Linked DNA regions of Struthio camelus. The protein of the gene in region 2 binds, or shares a complex with, the protein of the main gene of each other region. Links are inferred from orthologs where the notes say so. Each region holds a gene or a part of one and is shown on either strand. Other genes may lie near its edges.

Region 1 (9,128 bases), on a different chromosome or scaffold from region 2:
GCATTCCCTTGACCTTTGCTGACTTAGGCTTTGAGTATTAGAATACCGTAAGGCATATACTTTCAATAGTCTGCCTCTAGACAAGTTTGACTATTCTTATGTGAAAGTATGTTGAAGGTATTCACATGTCAAGACTGGTAAAGATTAAATTCTAGCAACTGGTCAATAAATCTGGTTTGCTCTAATACTATCGCTAATCTTCTCCTCTGGCATCCTCTATTACTTAGTCTGTTCTTCATCTTCAAGGATTGTGTTGTGCAATGAAATGTAAATGTCAGGAGCAGAGTTCATTTCAGACGGTCTTTTAATAGGCTTCGTAAAGCCAAAGAAAACTGTATACAAGAATCCTTTACCACTTCAAATACAATATCAATGGAATATGCATATTTCTTCCAGTAAAAAAGGACAATATAAATAAACATTTTCAAGAACCTCTTTTATGGTAAGTTTGCAAGTCTATTTCTGGGTAATTTACATCATTACAACAGTAAAAATACCGTTATGCAAGTTGAACATACAAGCAAGTTTCTCTTTAGATATATCAAGGTGGTTTGCCTTCCAATTTGTACCCAGGCTGCATTCCTACCTTGCTACACTAAAGGAATGTTACAAAAGACGAAGGTAATGCACTTAAAAAAAAAAAAGTCCACAGCTTGTTCAGCTTCCAGTGAACATTGAATTAAAGGTCCTTTCTATCTCAAAAGAAACTGAATTGGGGCCCCAACTTCACAACTTTAAAAAAACACCTTGGCTCATCATGAAGGATAAAATAAAATCTGAAGTGCTTTCAAAAAAGATTAAAAACACTTGAAAGCAGAGCTTTCTTAAAGAAAAGTCTAATTAGACCATCTTATATCAGAAGCTGTCAGGCTGTGTTTGACAAGATTAGAACTGATAATACTACAAAAGTGAAAATACAAGTAGATGTACTACACAATAACGATTTCAGCGAAGCTCCAAAAATCTTTATAAATACAGCCATTGGAAGGACGATCTTGAGTCAGGAAGGATTTTTACTCGTTGTGTGTAGCTGAGGACAAGAAGCAGGCACAATTGTAAAGGCACTGAAGCATAGACAAGTTCCAGCATTTTACTCCCTTGCATTATTTCAGAAGCTAATGCTAGTTCGCTATGTCTTAAGAGAACTCCCCCACCCTTGATTAAAGTTTGTTAGGGCATCTGAGTTTTGTCTTAGTCTCAAGCTTGAGGAATGTAGTTAAAAACTTGCTTTGCCTTAGATCCAAGCAACTCCTACACATGCATTACAAATTAGAAATTTAAATGGCACAACCACGTCCGAGGCTTGACAGATTGGTTCTTACGGGCAAGAACAAAAATAGTGGTACAGTCCAACTGAGCCTTACAGTATTTCCAGACTTCAGTACAGGGTGAGAAGGTTTAGAGAGTTCCTACAGCAACATACTCGTCATTCCCATTTGAACTAAGACTTACCGTAACTGTCGTAGCTGTCTCTGTAGGATCCTCCTGAAGACCTGTCGCCGTAACCACCTTGACTCCTGCTGTTAAAAATACATTCACATGCATTATATTTGTTCATCTGTTCGTGGAGCCTCTTGACATGTGTCAAACAGGCAGCGGACTTCCAAGCGCTTTGCAAAAGAACCCCTATTTGCGGTGGGTTTACCTGCTATTATAGTAGTCTCTGGAGCCATTATATCCTCCACTTCTGGAATCAAACCTGCTTCCGCCATAGCCTCTGTCTCCACCTCCTTCAACAGATGCAAGGAGTTTATTTTAGCATGCTGAGAGCTACCATTATCCTATCAATAAGTACTGATCTTTTACATACGCTCACCTCTAGAGAAGCCACGGCCCCGACCTCTGCCTCCACGGAAAAAGCCTCTGCCCCCAGAAGACCCCCCTCTGTATCCACGAGATCTGTTCTCTGATGATTTTCCAGCCTGATCAACTCTGATCTGACGTCCATCTACAGACTAAAGTCGAAAGAAAAATAAACCAACTTGGTATTTCAATGTTGAACAACAAGCCTTTCGTTCAGCGTTACAACTAAGGTATAGCCCACTACAGAAGTAAATTAGTTTTCAAGCGCTATGTATGTGTTCCCTCTGAGTTTCTATCATTTCACTGAACAGGAACACGCTTTGCTGGCTCCTCTTATTCCTTGAGAGATCAGGAAAGAAATTCCAAAGTCTCCTTACCTTTCCGTTCATAGCCATCATTGCATCTTTAGCATCGTCTATGTTTTCAAAAGTAACAAAGCCAAAACCTCTGGATCTTTGAGTCTCTCTGTCTTTCACCACAACGACTACAAAGAAAAAAAGAACATGAGCACCCAGGAAATCTAGAAAATTCATGGAAAACATCACAGCTAATTATGATGATCTTACCTTCAGAGATCTGTCCATATTTAGAGAAGACTTGTTCCAATGACTGCTCATTGGTGTCAAAACTCAGACCGCCAACAAAGAGCTTCCCCTCATCGGATGCCATTTTGTCCTGTAAAGTCAACGTACCCACCGTTAAACCAAGAAATATTTCCGCAAGGGCCAAAACATTGGATCAGCAGCCTAGCATTCTTAAACAACGCACGCTCATTCGGTTCAGCGAGCCACCGCTGCAAACCACAAAGGAGCACCCGAACGGAGGACCAAGTGCTTTCTCTTGGAAAAACCGAGCCACATCCAGGTTACGAAGGAGAGCACAGCTACCCACCACATCCGCCCTCACCCGGGGCCAAGCCACCTCCCCGGAGGCGCGCAGAGGGCTCGCCCGGCACGGCGGGCTCCGGCCCTGCCTGCAGCCGCCCGCCCCGCCCCGCGCATGCGCGCCCCGCGGGGCACAGGCGCAGCCTCCCGGCCACCAGGCCCCCCTCCCCGCCCCCGGAGACGCCGCTCCTCCCTCCGCGCTCCGCCCATTTGGCGCAGGCGCGTTGCGACGCCCCTCCTCCCACCCGCCGCCATTTTGCACCGTCGAGGCGAGTCGCCATTTTGTTTCCGAAGGCGCATTTCACCCCTCCCCCTGGTTTCCCCCCCCCAACACAGCGCACACACGCAGCGAGCAACCACAACGCCTTCGCTAGGCTCACTACACAACCTCGAAAGACAGCGGGGCCGCGGGACAGGCGCCCCCCGCCCCAGGCTCCCCCCCGGTAGCAAACCCGCTGCTTCTCGGACGCGTTCCCCTTGACTAAGGCGCTCCAAGCCTCCCCAGCCCAGCCCGGCCCGGCCGCCGCCCGAGCACCCCAGCAGGCTCCTTACCAGTATTCTGGAGCTGAAGGGTCCACACAGCACTTCAAAGTCTCAGCGCGATGTACGCTGAGGCTGGCGGGGCAGCGGCTTATAAACCCCCGCTTTCGGCCCCGCCCCTCTTATGAATATGCAAATACTGCCCCACCGCAAGGCGGGGCGAGTGACGAGACCAAAGCGCTGCCGCCGCTCCGCCACCTGATTGGCCTGGAGCTTATTAATATTCATGAGGCCCGACTGGGGGAGAGGGGAGGAGGGAGTGAAAACAAAAACGCTGCATTCCCCCTCCTTCCCTTACTCCCACGTGGGGGTGGGGCGTGGAGGGCGGCTCTGATTGGTTGGGAGCTCGGAGAACGTTGGCCAGCAGAGCCCCTGTGAGAAGAAACGAAGTGGAGGCAGCTGATTGGCTGGAGGGCGCCCCCGTCGCATTTCCCCCTCCGCCACACCCCCTCGCGGCCCGCACGGGGAGGGGGCGTGGCCGCGCTGCCCCAGTTTCGCGCCCTTCTCAGCAATGCGGCGGCCGCCGCTGCTGCAGACAAAGGGGCCGCCTGAGGGGGCGGCCGCCATCTTGGGCGGCGAGCGCTGCAGCCTGCGCTGCCTCCCGGCGGGGCGCAGCCCGCACCGGGCGGTGCTCACCGGCGGTGGCTCGGCTTTCCCAGTGTGCCCCCACCTCAGGGCCCCTCTCGTGTTCCCTTTGCTGAGGGAGGGCAGCCTGCCCCCCCACCCCCACCCCGCGCAGGCATGGCGGCCTGTTGGCTCTGTGGGATGACGGCAGGATCCGTCGTAGCAGAGCGACCAGGCCGACGCTCGGAGGCCGGGGCGAAGCGCCCCCCTCCCCGAGCCGCTCTCTGGAGAGCGGAGGCCCCTCGGGCAGGCGGCAGAGGAAGGGGCCGCCGCGTCCTCGTCACCCCCAGGCGCGCCGTCCGTCCCCTCGGCGGGCGGCCGCCCTCCGCGTCCTGCCCAAGGGTTACGCCGCGACTTCACCTTCCCCGGCCGGCTCTCGCGGCGTGTGCAGGGTGAATAACGGCTACAGCAAAGCAGCCTCCTCCTCTGAAGCGCGGTCCTGGTGACTCGACACCCCCCGCGCGTACTCCTGAGAGCATGGCACAACTAATTTTAAAAGCCGCCCCATCACCCGTTCCCAAGCATAAATGGTTTTGTGAAGGGGAGGGGAAAAAAAAAGAAAGGATTCTGCTCAGCCCATTTTCCATTGAAACGTCTAAAAGCCCACCCTGGGATTTTTATAAGGTAAGTATATCTCTAGCATTAAAAACTTCCCAGTTCAAACAAGAAGCTGTCCGACACAGGTACACGTTTCTTCAAGAGACTGCATTGCTTTAAAACGCACAGGAAAACACAATTCCCCAGTCTTTCCTAGAAAAGCTACAGTCTTGGCTCAACTATGCCATGATGTAGGATGCTATTTAAAAACGGCCGAGAGGAAAAGACGCAGGAGGAAAACGGCGGCATACGGACAAGAGCTGGAAGAAAACAGGGCTAGGACGGGTCCTGGAGGCCACGTCACCTACCCCTCTACTCGGCAGCAGGATCAGCGCCGTGTAAACTGGATCTGTGAAGTGAGGTGGGGAATTGTACTGCAAAGGAGTCGGTAATTTTGTTTGCAGTTTGCACCAGGAGAAGAGGGTGCGCACATACGCGCACCCCTGCCTCCCTCCCATCGCCTCTCTGGTCCCAGAGCTCAGAGCAGTCTTGGTCGGAACCGCTGTTTAAATAGCATACGGTATTTAAGTCAGGGCTGGGTTTTTTTCCCCCCCCCCAAATAATGCGATTGATTTCCTAACTGAGTGCCGAGACAGGAAGAGTGAAAAGAGCCATAGTGAAATGCAAAGGAGTCTTCTGCCCACTATTGTTATGTGAAAGCAGGGAGTACTCTCCTTCCCTGCCTCTCAGAGTAAGGAAATTGGACTTTTCCTCCCTGATTTGATGTTACCCGTTTTGCGATCTACAGGGAAAAGATTGTTTGTTTTGTACACAAGCAGGTATAGTAATTATGAAATACAGAAGAATCTCAGTATTGCACTCTGCCCTAATCTGTACTGCTGTACACTCAAAAATAGCTGTTTCATTACTCCTCAGCACAGCTTTCATAATGGAACATTGCGGATTTTATGTTATGGTACTAAAGCGTTGGTCGTTTCGCCAAACATACAGCACCAGCAGGGTACAACAGCATGCTCCACCACCGTGCATTACTGGCTACAGCTCAAGTACTAGTAAGCGCATTAAAAATATATATATTGATGAGGCACCAATCTATTACTATTATTACCTTCTTACTGGTAAAACTATGAAAAAATGAACTAATTTTCCAGTCCAGAGAAGAAATTAACAGCATTAATAATACAAATTATTATATATGTTATATATAATCTATTGGTACTTAAGTGTGTCTGAGATGCTTTGCAGTAAAAGGAAAATAAAAGGTTCAGCACTCAAAATATTAGAGCAATAATTAAAAACAAGATGAAGCTGTGAAGGTAGGATAAGATATTGCAATATTTTTTTACCAAAAAAAAAAAATTTTGTTTCCTGATTGGAAGTAGGTATTTTAAACTCAGCGTTTAAAATGTTGAATAAGCCTGGGTTATTTTTTAATTCTACCTAATATTGCATCACACTGTGTGGTCCACCGGTGCACCAGTCATGTCAAAGGACGGGAGAGGCAAGGAGAGAGGACTTGTGTGCCACCTGAGATCGCAAGTCAATTTTTGCCCTTGAAAAAGACAATTCAGCCCTGAGCTTGAATCCCCAGCATGGCATTTTGATTAAATTAGGGACGTATTAACATAAGCATTTCTGGTTCACGATGAGGGCGGGTAAAGTGACCTTGACGCATGGAGCCATTTTGCAAGCGGAGACAGGGAGCGGCGTGAGTGGCGGTAGGACACGGCACGGCTGCCCTGGGGATGCTGAAGGGGAGGAGGCAGCGCTGTAGCTGCTTGCATATTCCTAAGGCCGTCAGTACCGCAAACGTCAAGGGACAAACACGGTTATTTTTAATCGTACTTTTTTCTCCTGCAAAGCCGGTGCGTGTTAAGTGTTTTTAAAATAGTACAGTTAATCTTTTATGTACAGTTTCAATGGAATTTGGGTCCTACCAGGACCAAAGGCTTGTGCAGAGACGCGTAGCTCTGTTCACCGCTGAGCATTGGCCCTCAGGGCCTGATTTGGCTCCTCTAACAGTAAATGGAAAGATCCCAGCTCTCTTCTGCAGCAGCTGGATTGGGCCCCAGAAGCCGAAGACCTGATTCCGGTCTCACTTGGGTGCATTCATGCTTTTCCTTTGAAACCAGTGAAGTTACACTATTAAACAAGGTGAGAAACAGATCAAATCAAGATCTCCTGTGCTGCCTCCACTCGCTTGTCCCAGTTCTGGTGCTCTCAGGAGGCTTCACGTGCTCCAGTTCTGCTTATTCCTCCCTGTCTGATCCAGGGCATTAGAAGCCGCGTGTGTCACTTTAGCTGGTAAACAAGTGGGCTGCAGCGGCCACGTGGCCAGAGCTTTCACCTGTTGGGCACTGTCATGAGTTTGTCCCCGGCACAATGGGCTCCGGGAGGGATTCAGCACAGGAAAATCTCTTGGCGTACCAGAAAAGCACCGCAAAACTACAGCTGAAACCAGCGCGGGCAGTGTATGCCAGTCAATAACTGTCCCGGCTGATTTCACGTGTTGTTATGGCAGTAATTAGGCAATGAAGCATAACAGACGTGATACATGTCACCAGAGGTAACCTTTCTGTAGCAATGACTGACATTTGCACAACTCCTGACCTGAGGATCCCAAAACTCTCGACAAGGTAAAGCAAGAAAACGGTGCTCAGCGTTAACTTTTGCGCTGTTTCTGCCTGTGGGTTAGATGCTCAAGTAGCCCCTGCACAAATTTCAGGACAGAGCATGAGTTCATTTGTTTTATCCAGCTGAGGCACATTTTCAATCACCTTTCGGTCGCCCGACAAGAAAGAACTGTAGTTAAAGTGACCTGATGCGGTGGAAGTGCTGTTGCGTCTTCCGCAGCTGCAAATAGCTGCCTTGACCTGTAGGCTCTCCGAAGCAGAGGCCATCTCTCCATGTGTTCATGTGGCTCTTAGCACAATGCTGCGCTCCTCTGGACTGTGGACTTCAGTGTCTGATAACTGTTAAATCATAAATCACAAGAAGCTGGAGGGATCTCAGGGACCAGTCTTGTCTGTTGGCTCAAGCAACCCCATTCCTGGCAGATATTTGTCTCACCCATTTCTTTAAAACCTCCGGTGACAGAGATTATTGTAGCATATAAAATGATAGTACTTACGTCCTAAAAGAGTCTCCTTCCAGCAGCACAGCAGCTTTTAGTGCCACATGCAGGGAGCATCGATAGAGGAGTGCTAAAAAGCCTACTGTAACGTCCTTGTCTCAGTCACGGTTTCCAAATCTAGTACTCAGCACCCCCCCTGGCCTCCAAGGGACCTTTGCAGGATGGATGCAAACAGCTGGATTTCTTCGAGGGACCTCCGCTAGGCAACATTTATTACCTGTATTTGTAGGGGCCTTTCTCCAGTCCTTTAAGGCTGGCCTCACCCTGTAATCACAGCCATTTTCCACGGGATAGAGCAGTTTGGCATCTGCCCAGAGCCACACAGCAACCAAGCACAAACTTGCTGCGCAGCCCGCCTGCTCCCGTAGCCTGCGCCCAGAGCCAGGGGCAGAGCGGGAGAAGCGTCTGCCCCAGGCGCCGCTGTGATCAGCTTTCCAAACCGGAGAGAACAGACCCGAATTCCTCCGGGAGCTGCTGACGCCGGCCTCGGGCGAGGGCTGGGGAAAGGCGCTCCCAGGAGGGACGCGGGGAAGAAAGGGGGCGAGGAGGAGCACGGGGACGGCTGGCAGAGGCCGACCGGGCACCAAAACGCCTGGCTGTGGCTCTGATGGTATCACCGCCTGCTTCTCCGCGCTCCGACTCGCACAAGCCCTGCGACGGCAGGACTGGAAAGGGGACAAAAATACCCACGTCGCCTGGGCTCGCGCTGCGCTCAGAAAAGCGCTGGGGACCCCGCTTCCCGCGGAGGCAGCGGGCAGGGGCACAGCTGGAGGGGGCGGAGGAGGCGGGCACAGCTGTCCGGCACCAACCCCGGCGGCGGCGCGGCCGAGGAGCCTCCTTCCGTCTCTTTGTTTTCGCTGGGATTGCAGGGAAAGAGGGAATGCGAGGCTGGATTGAACCGGGGTCCGTCCCCCCCCCCGGGCCTTCATCCTGCCCCTCACCAAAGCCACGGGCAGAATCATCTTTTGCATAGCGGGGACGCGTCCTTGCTGACCTCCGCTGGCCGAGGGCTCGCGTACGCCTGGCGGCAGGAAGCCTTCGGGGCTGCCTGCAGCTGTGGTGGAAGCAGGGGGAGCAGGCAGAGCCGTCCTCTGCGCGGCAGGATCTCTCGCCCGCCCCGCGCCCCCTGCGCGGCCGCTCACGGCGCCGGCCCTGGGCTCAGCATCCACGTCCCCTCGGTTCTGAATCCTGGAACTGGCAGCCCCTAAGCCCACAGGCGAAAATATTCCCTTCTCTCTCGCTACTTTCCCTAAGGGAGTTGCTTATCCAGCTTTGCAGTTTGAAAAACCCTGACGCAATCATGCTGTTGCCATGGCAAGAAACGTTGCTGCTGCATTTTCCTCTGCGATTTACCGTGACTGGGGTTTACTAAGTTATAGGACAAAGCAATAACGAATGAAGGAATCGGATCCACAGCAAGGCTTGCAAGAAGCTGCAAGAAATCTGGGTTGGCACGCGTTGCCAAAAGGCAAGAAGGGAGGGTTTTTTTACAGCAGCGTAGGGCATACCCAAACCTGAGCACCGGGAAACGAGCGGGCTTCAGTGCACCCTGGGGCCAGCGCAGCTCCCTCGCAGGAGGGTCGGTC
Region 2 (9,376 bases):
GTATAATACTACCAAGTGGTATAACACTACGGGGGGGGGGGGTCGCCCGCCCCTTCGTCAGAGCTGTCATGTTGCCTCCCACTTACCGTGGGGTAAGATCACCCCCCCCCCCGATACCACGAGGCAGCCAGCACACTATGTCTGCTCACTCCAGCCTGCCTCGCAGAGGCCGATGGAGAAAGCTGCGACACCGTTACTACGGAATTAGCCTACAACATCACTTCTCTGAAGCTGTTATTACCTTCTCTGAACAAGAACAGAGGGGCTGGACTGCCTCTAGGCCTTGGGCAAGCCAAATCCGGTACCTGCTATGATGGTCCGTCTAACAGAAATGCTCATCTTTCTAAAAAAAAACGCTCCTCTTTCTCTGGCTTACGTCTGAAAGTTGAAATAAATTTAGTAAAGAACAATTTAAATAAGTTATGTATTCTGAATGATTTTAAGTTGCACTCCAGAGCGTCCGTTCCTTTCCCAAAGATCTGAGAGGGAAGCGGGATTGCTCCTTAAAACGTGTCACTAAACTCTGCAAGTGAATCTCTCAAAGCATCAGGTCAAATAAGTATAAATAAGAAGCGAGAACCAGAAACACTGTTAACATGGAGACAGGCTAGCTTGCTGCTTGAGTTTAAAACGCACTTGCATACATGAAAGAGCCAGTCCAGAGCTGAAAGGAGGTTTCTGAAGGCATTTCTCTTGAGAAAAGATAAAGAAGTTACTTCCCTCTAAAAAGCAAAGGGATCCCCTTTGTCTTCTGGCCAGACTGCTGAGGTACTTCACGCACACTTATCTGCGCCACAGGACAAAAGCAGCTTCGCAGAGGAATTGTCTGTTCAGTCACTAGAGATTATTTGTACGACGGCAAGTTAGTTAAAGGGAGCAGCCAGCGCAGAAAGAAGCGTTCAAGGAGCAGAAGGCAACAAAGGCTTAAATTAAATAAGCACGCTTTTGATTTAGTTTACAAAACGATCTGGAAAACACAGATAAGCGTCCAAAGCAACCACAGCTGAGCAAAACAGACCACAAGGCTTTCCACAGGGACAGAGACGAATGAGAAACCCCATCCTCGTGGGAGGCCAGGTTTTTTTAAAAATTAAGACCCAAATGCTTCCACCGCTCCTCTTGATGGGGCAGTGTGTCTCAAGCACGGCTCACAGGCCCTACAATGCCGTCGGGGGGGCCCTCTGCTCCTAACGCAGAAGTAACCGCTTCAGACTGCAGTCTTGATGTTCAGCAAGTTACCTTGAAAGCAGGACGCTATCCACTTCTTTGTCCTGTCGCATCACCAGCTGGCTCTAGATTTCCCTCTCTGCCCCAAAGGCTGATCAGGAATTCATCTAGGCACATAGCAAAAGCGTTATCTGTTCCAGAAATAGATCTGCAATAATTGCAGCACAGTTTACTCTCTTTCAACTCTAATATAGAATAAAAGCTGGAGTCTTTAGTTTGCCTTTGGCCTTCTCAGGTAGGGATTCAGCGGTTTAGGAGGCCTCACGTGACAAAAAAGGAGAATCTCATGCCGCGATTACAAATTTAGTTTCTGAAACAGGAGTAACCTCACAACAAAGTCACAGACTGGGCAAGAGAGACACCGCTCTGGAAATAAACTGAAACAAGATCTTCACGCGGCCACAACCAAACCCCTAACGTTCATCAAGTTACCTTAAATGCTGGTGTGAGGGTACAGCCCAGCAAGGCGACAGGGTCCAGGGGGGCTCTGCTCCACGTCTCAAACCGATCAGAAGAACTGCTGTGTGTCTGCTGTGTGTTGGCACTCAACACTTGGCAAATTCATGTAAGTTTAGTTGTTCTCCTTGCACACCCACCCCACGTACTTTCCAAATGGTGAAGACCGCTTTTTCAGGAAAAGATACCATCCAAATATACATAGACTTGATTAATCTTTATAACTGGATTTTTCCCAAACTTACCAGAATAGTTGCAGAAGTAAATACTACTATAGACTCTTACGATAATTAGGAATCCAACTCTATTCAGCTCAAGTAAATTAAGGAAGAAAACATGAGTTTGTTGTAATGAATGCTGTAAAGAGGTACTAGCCAATGAGAAGTTCAGAGCAGCAACATTTATCTAGCAGATTAATTCCACAGTCACTACTTATCTCCTACAAAGTGAGGAAGCTGAACAGAGCTCTGTAAAACTTGCTTGGGAAGACACTCGAGGAAGCAGAGGAGAATTTTCTGCTGTCCTTCACAGCATTCAGGCTTTGAGACAAGCAGACCAGTGCAGGGGGCAGAAGTCTTGCTCTTCAAGAGGTCCCAGCATGCTAGACAAAACTGATCAGAATTCAGGATTCACTGCTTCTCCTCGGAAAACACAAGCAGCCTCCAAAGATTTCTGGCGGGAGGGGCGGGGGTAGAGGGGACGTGTGGACGGCAGAGGAGGAAAACTAGACATCAGCGACACAAAGGACGCCCGCTCTATGCTCCGCTCTACATAGCTGAGAGCCATACCGATACAAAAGACAACAAGGAGAAACAATAGGCTTTAGGGGAAAAAAAAAAAAATGAAGTCACTCCCAGCCTTACAACCAAGAGCGAACAAATATGTTTTCAGCAAGAGAATGCCCTGAAGTACGGCTAGGCCAAAAAACATACATCAATTTCTAAATTTAGTCTTGAGGCTAAAGTCCAGCAGGACAGAACTTGACATCAATCACTTCAGGGTTTCAGAAGCGAGCAGCAGTGCTTCCACTCCTCTGGTTCACCGTAAGCTAGAGCACGACTTCGACTGTTTTCCAGGGGAAGCCTCAGCTCTCTCGGCCGTGGGCAGGCCGGGAGCAGCGGGCAGAGCGGGGGTGCCCGTGGGGTCCATCACGCCCGGCGAGAGGAGGGGTTGTGGGCCCGTCCAATACCTTTCACAACGTTTCCCTCAACCATTTCCTGCTCCTCAGCTACCACAGAGGCTGTGCCAAATAAGGCAGCCTGTCTTTCCTGTTCTGGTCAAGGAGCCTCAGCGCGGGCAGACCGCGACAAAAGCCAGGCCTTTGCGCTCCCCAGAGCGGACTTGGAGAGCGGTAACGATAACAAAACACCACCTCGCTGCTTCGGGTGAAGCCACGAAGACAAGCCAGGTCGCCGAGCAGCTGCGGAGGGGCTGCCCGCCAGCCAGCTCCGCGCCGCCGGACGTCGACCAAACTCCCGCTCTCACGCCGACAGGCCGCGGCGAGCGGGACCGGCGACGCGGTGGGCAAGAGCGGAGGGGACCGGGGCACAACGCCGACAGCCGCCGGGGCAGGCGAGCAGCGAGGCCAGGCCGCGGCCTGGGGCGAGGCCTACTGAGCTCTCCACACACTTCCCCCCCCCCGCCCCCAAAACCGGTCCTGCCCCCCGCCCGAAACGTGCTCCACCGGAGCAGGCCTCACCGATCGCTGGAGCTCGCCCAGCCAGCAGCTCGCCCGCTCCTTGCCGCTGGGGTCGGGGTCGTGGTAGAGGGCCTGCACGGCCTGGTACACCACCTGCAGGCTCGGCTTGCCCCCGCCGCCCTCCATGGCGCTGCCGATGCTGCCGCCGCCGCCGCTCAGGGCCGCCGGCCGCTGCCGCCCGCCGCCATCTCCTCGCCCTGCGCCGTCCGTTACCGGGACGGGGCGGTGCCACGCCGAGCGCGGCCCCCGCCGGAAACACGCGCCGAGCCGCGCGTTCCGCTTCCGGTCCGGCCAACCCCGCTCCCTCCCTCCCTCCCGCCCGCTGCCACCGCCCGCTCGCGCCGCCCGGAACCGCCGCGCCGCGCTTCCGCCGCGTGCGCCGCCCAAAGCGGCCCGGCCGGCACGGCGGCGGCGGGAAGAGACGGGCCGCCCCCCTCCACCCCCCCCCGGCGGCGGCGCTTCCGGGACCCGCCCCGGCCGCCATTGTGCGCGCGGTCTGGGCCCGGCCGCCAGCCCGGCCCTGAACCCCGTGTGGACCGTGGTCCCCGGTGCCCCCGGCCCGGTCCCGTCCGGCCCCCTCCCGCTCCCCCCCCCCGGTGCCCCCGGCCCCGTCCGGTCTGTCCCCCTCCCGCCCCCCCCCGGTGCCCCTGGCCCGGCCTGGTCCCCTCCCGTCCCCCCTGGTGCCCCTGGCCCGGTCCCCTCCCGTCCCCCCCGGTGCCTCCGGCCCGGCCCGGTCTGGTCCCCTCCCGTCCCCCCTGGTGCCCCCGGCCCGGTCCCCTCCCGTCCCCCCCGGTGCCCCTGGCCCGGCCCGGTCCCCTCCCGTCCCCCCCGGTGCCCCCGGCCCAGTCCCCTCCCGTCCCCCCTGGTGCCCCCGGCCCGGTCTGGTCCCCTCCCGTCCCCCCCGGTGCCCCTGGCCCGGTCCCCTCCCATCCCCCCCGGTGCCTCCGGCCCGGCCCGGTCTGGTCCCCTCCCGTCCCCCCCGGTGCCCCCGGCCCAGTCTGGTCCCCTCCCGTCCCCCCCGGTGCCCCTGGCCCGGTCCCCTCCCATCCCCCCCGGTGCCTCCGGCCCGGCCCGGTCTGGTCCCCTCCCGTCCCCCCCGGTGCCCCCGGCCCAGTCTGGTCCCCTCCCGTCCCCCCCGGTGCCCCTGGCCCGGTCCCCTCCCATCCCCCCCGGTGCCTCCGGCCCGGCCCGGTCTGGTCCCCTCCCGTCCCCCCCCGGTGCCCCCGGCCCGGTCCCCTCCGTTCCCCCCAGCTCGGCCCGCTCCTGTCCCCCCCCGGTGCCCCCGGCCCGGTCCCCTCCCGTCCCCCCCGGTGCCCCCGGCCCAGACTGGTCCCCTCCCGTCCCCCCCGGTGCCCCCGGCCCGGTCCCCTCCCGTCCCCCCCAGTTCCCCCCGCCCGGCCCAGTCCGGTCCCCTCCCGTCCCCCCCCGGTGCCCCCCGCCCGGTCCCCTCCCGTCCCCCCTGGTGCCCCTGGCCCGGCCCGGTCTGGTCCCCTCCCGTCCCCCCCGGTGCCCCTGGCCCGGTCCCCTCCCGTCCCCCCTGGTGCCCCTGGCCCGGCCCGGTCTGGTCCCCTCCCGTCCCCCCCGGTGCCCCTGGCCCGGTCCCCTCCCGTCCCCCCTGGTGCCCCTGGCCCGGCCCGGTCTGGTCCCCTCCCGTCCCCCCGTCCCGGCCCACTCCTGTCCCCCCCCCGGTGCCCCCGGCCCAGACTGTTTCCCTCCTGTGCCCCCCCGGTGCCCCCGGTCTGGTCCCCTCCCATCCCCCCCCAGTACCCCCACCCCGGTCTGGTCCCCTCCCATCCCCCCCCAGTACCCCCACCCCGGTCTGGTCCCCTCCCGTCCCCCCCCCCCCCCGGTGACCCCTGCCCGGCCCGCTCCGCTCCCGTCACCCTCGGTCCCACCAGCCTGGCCAGTGTCGTCCCAGTTGTGGGCACCAAGGGGCCGCAGGAGAGGGACGTTCAACTGGCACCTCTTGCCCCACCGCACCCATTGCACCTGCGTGGCCATGGCAGGGATGAGGGAATTGGGGGGGTGTCCGGGTCAGGGATGGGGGTGTTGGTGGGGATCTAGGGCATGGATGTGGGGTCGGGGTGTCTGGGGTAGGGACGAGGGGACTGGGGGGGGGGATGGGGGAGATGGCAGGGGTTCAGGCCTGCCATTCCTACAGGCAGCAGCGTCCCACAGGCAGAGGTGTCCCATGGGGAGAAGCACCCCAGGGAGCAGCAGTGTCCCACGGGCCGTGGTGTCCCATGGGGAGAAGCACCCCAGGGAGCAGCAGTGTCCCACGGGCCGTGGTGTCCCGTGGGTGGTGGTGTCCCACCAGCAGCAGCCCCGGGGAGCTGGGTGCTGGCACAGGGCACAGGGCAGGGGGGGCTCCTGACCCAGCCCTAACGCGAGAGGGAAGCGATGGGGGACCAGACCCCATGCTGGAGGGCAGAGGGTTCACAGCATCACACAAAATCACAGAAGGGTTGAGGTTGGAAGGGACCTCTGGAGATCATCTAGTCCAACCCCCCGTGCTCAAGCAGGATCCTCTAGAGCATATTTCCCAGGAGCGCATTCAGGTAGGTTTTGAATATCTCCAGGGAAGGAGACTCCTCTCTGGGCAACCTTTTCCAGTGCTCTGTCACCCTCACAGTAAAGAAGTTTTTCCTCCTGTTCAGATGGAACTTCTTGTGTTTCAGTTTGTGCCCGTTGCCTCTTGTCCTGTCACTGGGCACCACAGAGAAGAGAGTGGCCCCATCCTCTCTTGACACCCTCCCTTCAGATACTTGTAGGCATTGATGAGTTCCCTTCTCAGTCTTCTCCAGGCTGTACAGGCCCAGTTTCTTCAGCCTTTCTTCACAGGAGAGATGCTCCAGTCCCCTACTCAGCTTTGTAGCCCTCTGCTGGACTCTCTCCAGTAGTGCCATGTCTCTCCTGTACCGGGGAGCCCACAGTTGGACACAGTACTGCAGATGTGGCCTCAGCAGGGCTGAGTAGAGGGGGAGGATCACCTCCCTCCACCTGCTGGCAACACTCAATGCACCCACCCCAGGAGACCATTGGCCTTCTTGGCCACAAGGGCACACTGCTGGCTCGTGGTCAATTTGTTGTCCACCAGCACTCCCAGGTCCCTCTCGGCAGAGCTGCTCTCCAGCAGGTCAACCCCCAGCCTGTCCTGGTGCCTGGGGTTCTTCCTCCCCAGGGGCAGGAGCCTGCACTTGCCTTTGTGGAACTGCATGAGGTTCCTCTCCACCCAACTCTCCAGCCTGTCCACGTCCCCCTGAATGGCAGCACAGCCTTCTGGTGTGTCAGCCACTCCTCCCAGTTTAGTATCATCGGCAACCTTGCTGAGGGGGCACTCTGTCCCTTCCTCCAGGTCATGGATGAATAAGTTGAACAACCACCACTACCTCTCCCAGACTGACCTGTTGCGTCTCGTCAGGACCTGGACCTCCCGCGGCCCCGGGGTCCAGGCCGGAGCAGCCCGGCGATGCTGCCGCAGGCGCCCAGGGCCCCGGCGCCTGGCTTGAGCCAGGGCAGAGAAGCGGTCATGGGGGGACTTTCCGGCCGCCAGGCGCACGGCCAGGCACGCGGTTAGGACCTCCAACATGGCCCACCACATCCTCCGCTTCCCCAAATGACTCCTGCCTGGGGCTTTGGCCCAGGGCTCAGGGCATGGGGGACGCCAGGCTCGGCCCGGCCTCGGGGAAGGGGCAGCTTGAGGGATCCCAGCGTGGCATGGCCCCATATAGGGGACCCCTCACATCAATCCCTCCACTGCTATAGGTGCATAGGGGACCCCGTGCAGCACCACCCATTGCTACAGGTATATAAGGGACCCCCCACCAGCCTGGTCCGCTCCCGTCCCCACCGGTGCCCCCGACCCGGCTCAGTGTCCTCCCAGGTGCGGACGCCAAGGGGCTGCAGGAGAGGGACGTTCAACCCGCACCTCTTGCCCCGCTGCACTCATGGCACCCGTGTGGCCAGGGCAGGGCTCGTGGCATTTGGGGGGGTCCAGGTCAGGGATGGGGGTGTTGGGGGGGGAACTGGGGTGTCTGGGGCAGGGATGAGGGGACTGGGGGGGGTCTGGGGCAGGGTCCAGGGCAGGGGTCCGGGGCAGGGATGAGGGAGATGGCAGGGGTTTAGGGCTGGCATTCCCAGCCTGGCTCCCCAGGGAGCTTTGACCCTTCCTGCTGTTGCTGATAGCGTTCCTGAGGGCGCTGGGGCCTTTTCTGGCCTTTCTGATGACGTCGCCGGGGTCATTTGGGCCTTAGCTAGCGCTGCTGTTCCCTCGGTGCTGGAGACCCACGGCAGGGACCAGCCCATGGCGGCCCAGCCCCACAGAGGGGCAGGATGCGTCCCTGTCCTTCCCTCCATGCTCCATCCAAGTCTGCATCCCCATCCCTGTACCTATCTCCATCCCCATGTCCACCCCCATCCGTGTCCCCATCTGCAGCCCCACCACGTGTCCCCAGGTGCCCTCAGCAAGGGAAGGGCGTGCTGCTGGCAACATTGGGTGTCCTGCGGGAGCCAAGGTGCCACAGCGAGGAGCCGGGACGCGGGGCTGCTCTCCTCTCGCTCAGCCCCAGCCCACCTCAGCCAGGCACCACTCATGGTGCCTGTGATGGGGACGGCACAGTGATGTCACCTCCTGCAGGTGGCAGCAGCTCAGCAATGTCCCACGGGCAGCAGCATCCCATGGGGAGAAGCACCCCCTGAGCAGCAGCGTCCTATGGGCAGTGGCGTCCCATGGGGAGAAGCACCCCCCGAGCAGCAGTGTCCCACGGGCAGTGGTGTCCCATGGGGAGAAGCACCCCAGGGAGCAGCAGTGTCCCACGGGCAGTGGTGTCCCATGGGGAGAAGCACCCCCTGAGCAGCAGCGTCCTATGGGCAGTGGCGTCCCATGGGGAGAAGCACCCCCTGAGCAGCAGCGTCCCACGGGCAGAGGTGTCCCATGGGGAGAAGCACCCCAGGGAGCAGCAGCGTCCCACGGGCAGTGGTGTCCCATGGGGAGAAGCACCCCAGGGAGCAGCAGTGTCCCACGGGCAGTGGTGTCCCATGGGGAGAAGCACCCCCTGAGCAGCAGCGTCCTATGGGCAGTGGCGTCCCATGGGGAGAAGCACCCCCTGAGCAGCAGCGTCCCACGGGCAGAGGTGTCCCATGGGGAGAAGCACCCCAGGGAGCAGCAGCGTCCCACGGGCAGTGGTGTCCCATGGGGAGAAGCACCCCAGGGAGCAGCAGCGTCCCACGGGCAGTGGTGTCCCATGGGGAGAAGCACCCCAGGGAGCAGCAGCGTCCCACGGGCAGTGGTGTCCCATGGGGAGAAGCACCCCCTGAGCAGCAGTGTCCCACGGGCAGCGGTGTCCCATGGGGAGAAGCACCCCCTGAGCAGCAGTGTCCCACGGGCAGCGGTGTCCCATGGGGAGAAGCACCCCAGGGAGCAGCAGTGTCCCACGGGCAGTGGTGTCCCATGGGGAGAAGCACCCCAGGGAGCAGCAGCGTCCCACGGGCAGTGGTGTCCCATGGGGAGAAGCACCCCAGGGAGCAGCAGTGTCCCACGGGCAGCGGTGTCCCATGGGGAGAAGCACCCCAGGGAGCAGCAGTGTCCCACGGGCAGTGGTGTCCCATGGGGAGAAGCACCCCCTGAGCAGCAGCGTCCCACGGGCAGTGGTGTCCCATGGGGAGAAGCACCCCCTGAGCAGCAGTGTCCCACGGGCAGCGGTGTCCCATGGGGAGAAGCACCCCCTGAGCAGCAGCGTCCCACGGGCAGTGGTGTCCCATGGGGAGAAGCACCCCCTGAGCAGCAGTGTCCCACGGGCAGCGGTGTCCCATGGGGAGAAGCACCCCAGGGAGCAGCAGTGTCCCACGGGCAGTGGTGTCCCGTGGGTGGTGGTGTCCCACCAGCAGCAGCCCCGGGGAGCTGGGTGCCCCGTAGGGCATGGGGCAGGGGCCAGCTCCTGACCCAGCCCTAACGCGAGAGGGAAGCGATGGGGAACCAGACCCCATGCTGGAGGG

What was found.
Region 1: the proteins of TNPO3 (region 2) and CIRBP are in contact, whole or in part, in a crystal structure (PDB 8CMK), measured with the Homo sapiens proteins. The link is inferred for Struthio camelus from reciprocal best matches to the Homo sapiens genes TNPO3 and CIRBP. Residues at the interface, in NP_036602.1 of Homo sapiens: Arg620, Glu660, Arg661, Cys663, Arg664, Arg667, Phe668, Arg671, Ser698, Cys699, Tyr702, Ser705, Ile706, Asp709, Glu710, Asp747, Asp750, Asp751, Arg754, Arg758; in NP_001271.1 of Homo sapiens: Tyr160, Arg161, Ser163, Tyr164, Asp165, Ser166, Tyr167, Ala168.

The regions. Positions count from the first base shown.
Region 1 is NC_090967.1:7,051,394-7,060,521, forward strand, and holds CIRBP (cold-inducible RNA-binding protein), read right to left. Parts: upstream 3,862-9,128; 5' UTR 3,240-3,861; intron 2,479-3,239; 5' UTR 2,473-2,478; coding exon 2,370-2,472; intron 2,288-2,369; coding exon 2,181-2,287; intron 1,956-2,180; coding exon 1,817-1,955; intron 1,731-1,816; coding exon 1,646-1,730; intron 1,521-1,645; coding exon 1,453-1,520; intron 1,031-1,452; coding exon 1,014-1,030; 3' UTR 287-1,013; downstream 1-286. UniProt on the Homo sapiens protein: Cold-inducible mRNA binding protein that plays a protective role in the genotoxic stress response by stabilizing transcripts of genes involved in cell survival. Acts as a translational activator.
Region 2 is NC_090942.1:1,544,530-1,553,905, forward strand, and holds the start of TNPO3 (transportin-3), read right to left. Parts: upstream 3,707-9,376; 5' UTR 3,509-3,706; coding exon 3,383-3,508; intron 1-3,382. UniProt on the Homo sapiens protein: Importin, which transports target proteins into the nucleus. Specifically mediates the nuclear import of splicing factor serine/arginine (SR) proteins, such as RBM4, SFRS1 and SFRS2, by recognizing phosphorylated SR domains.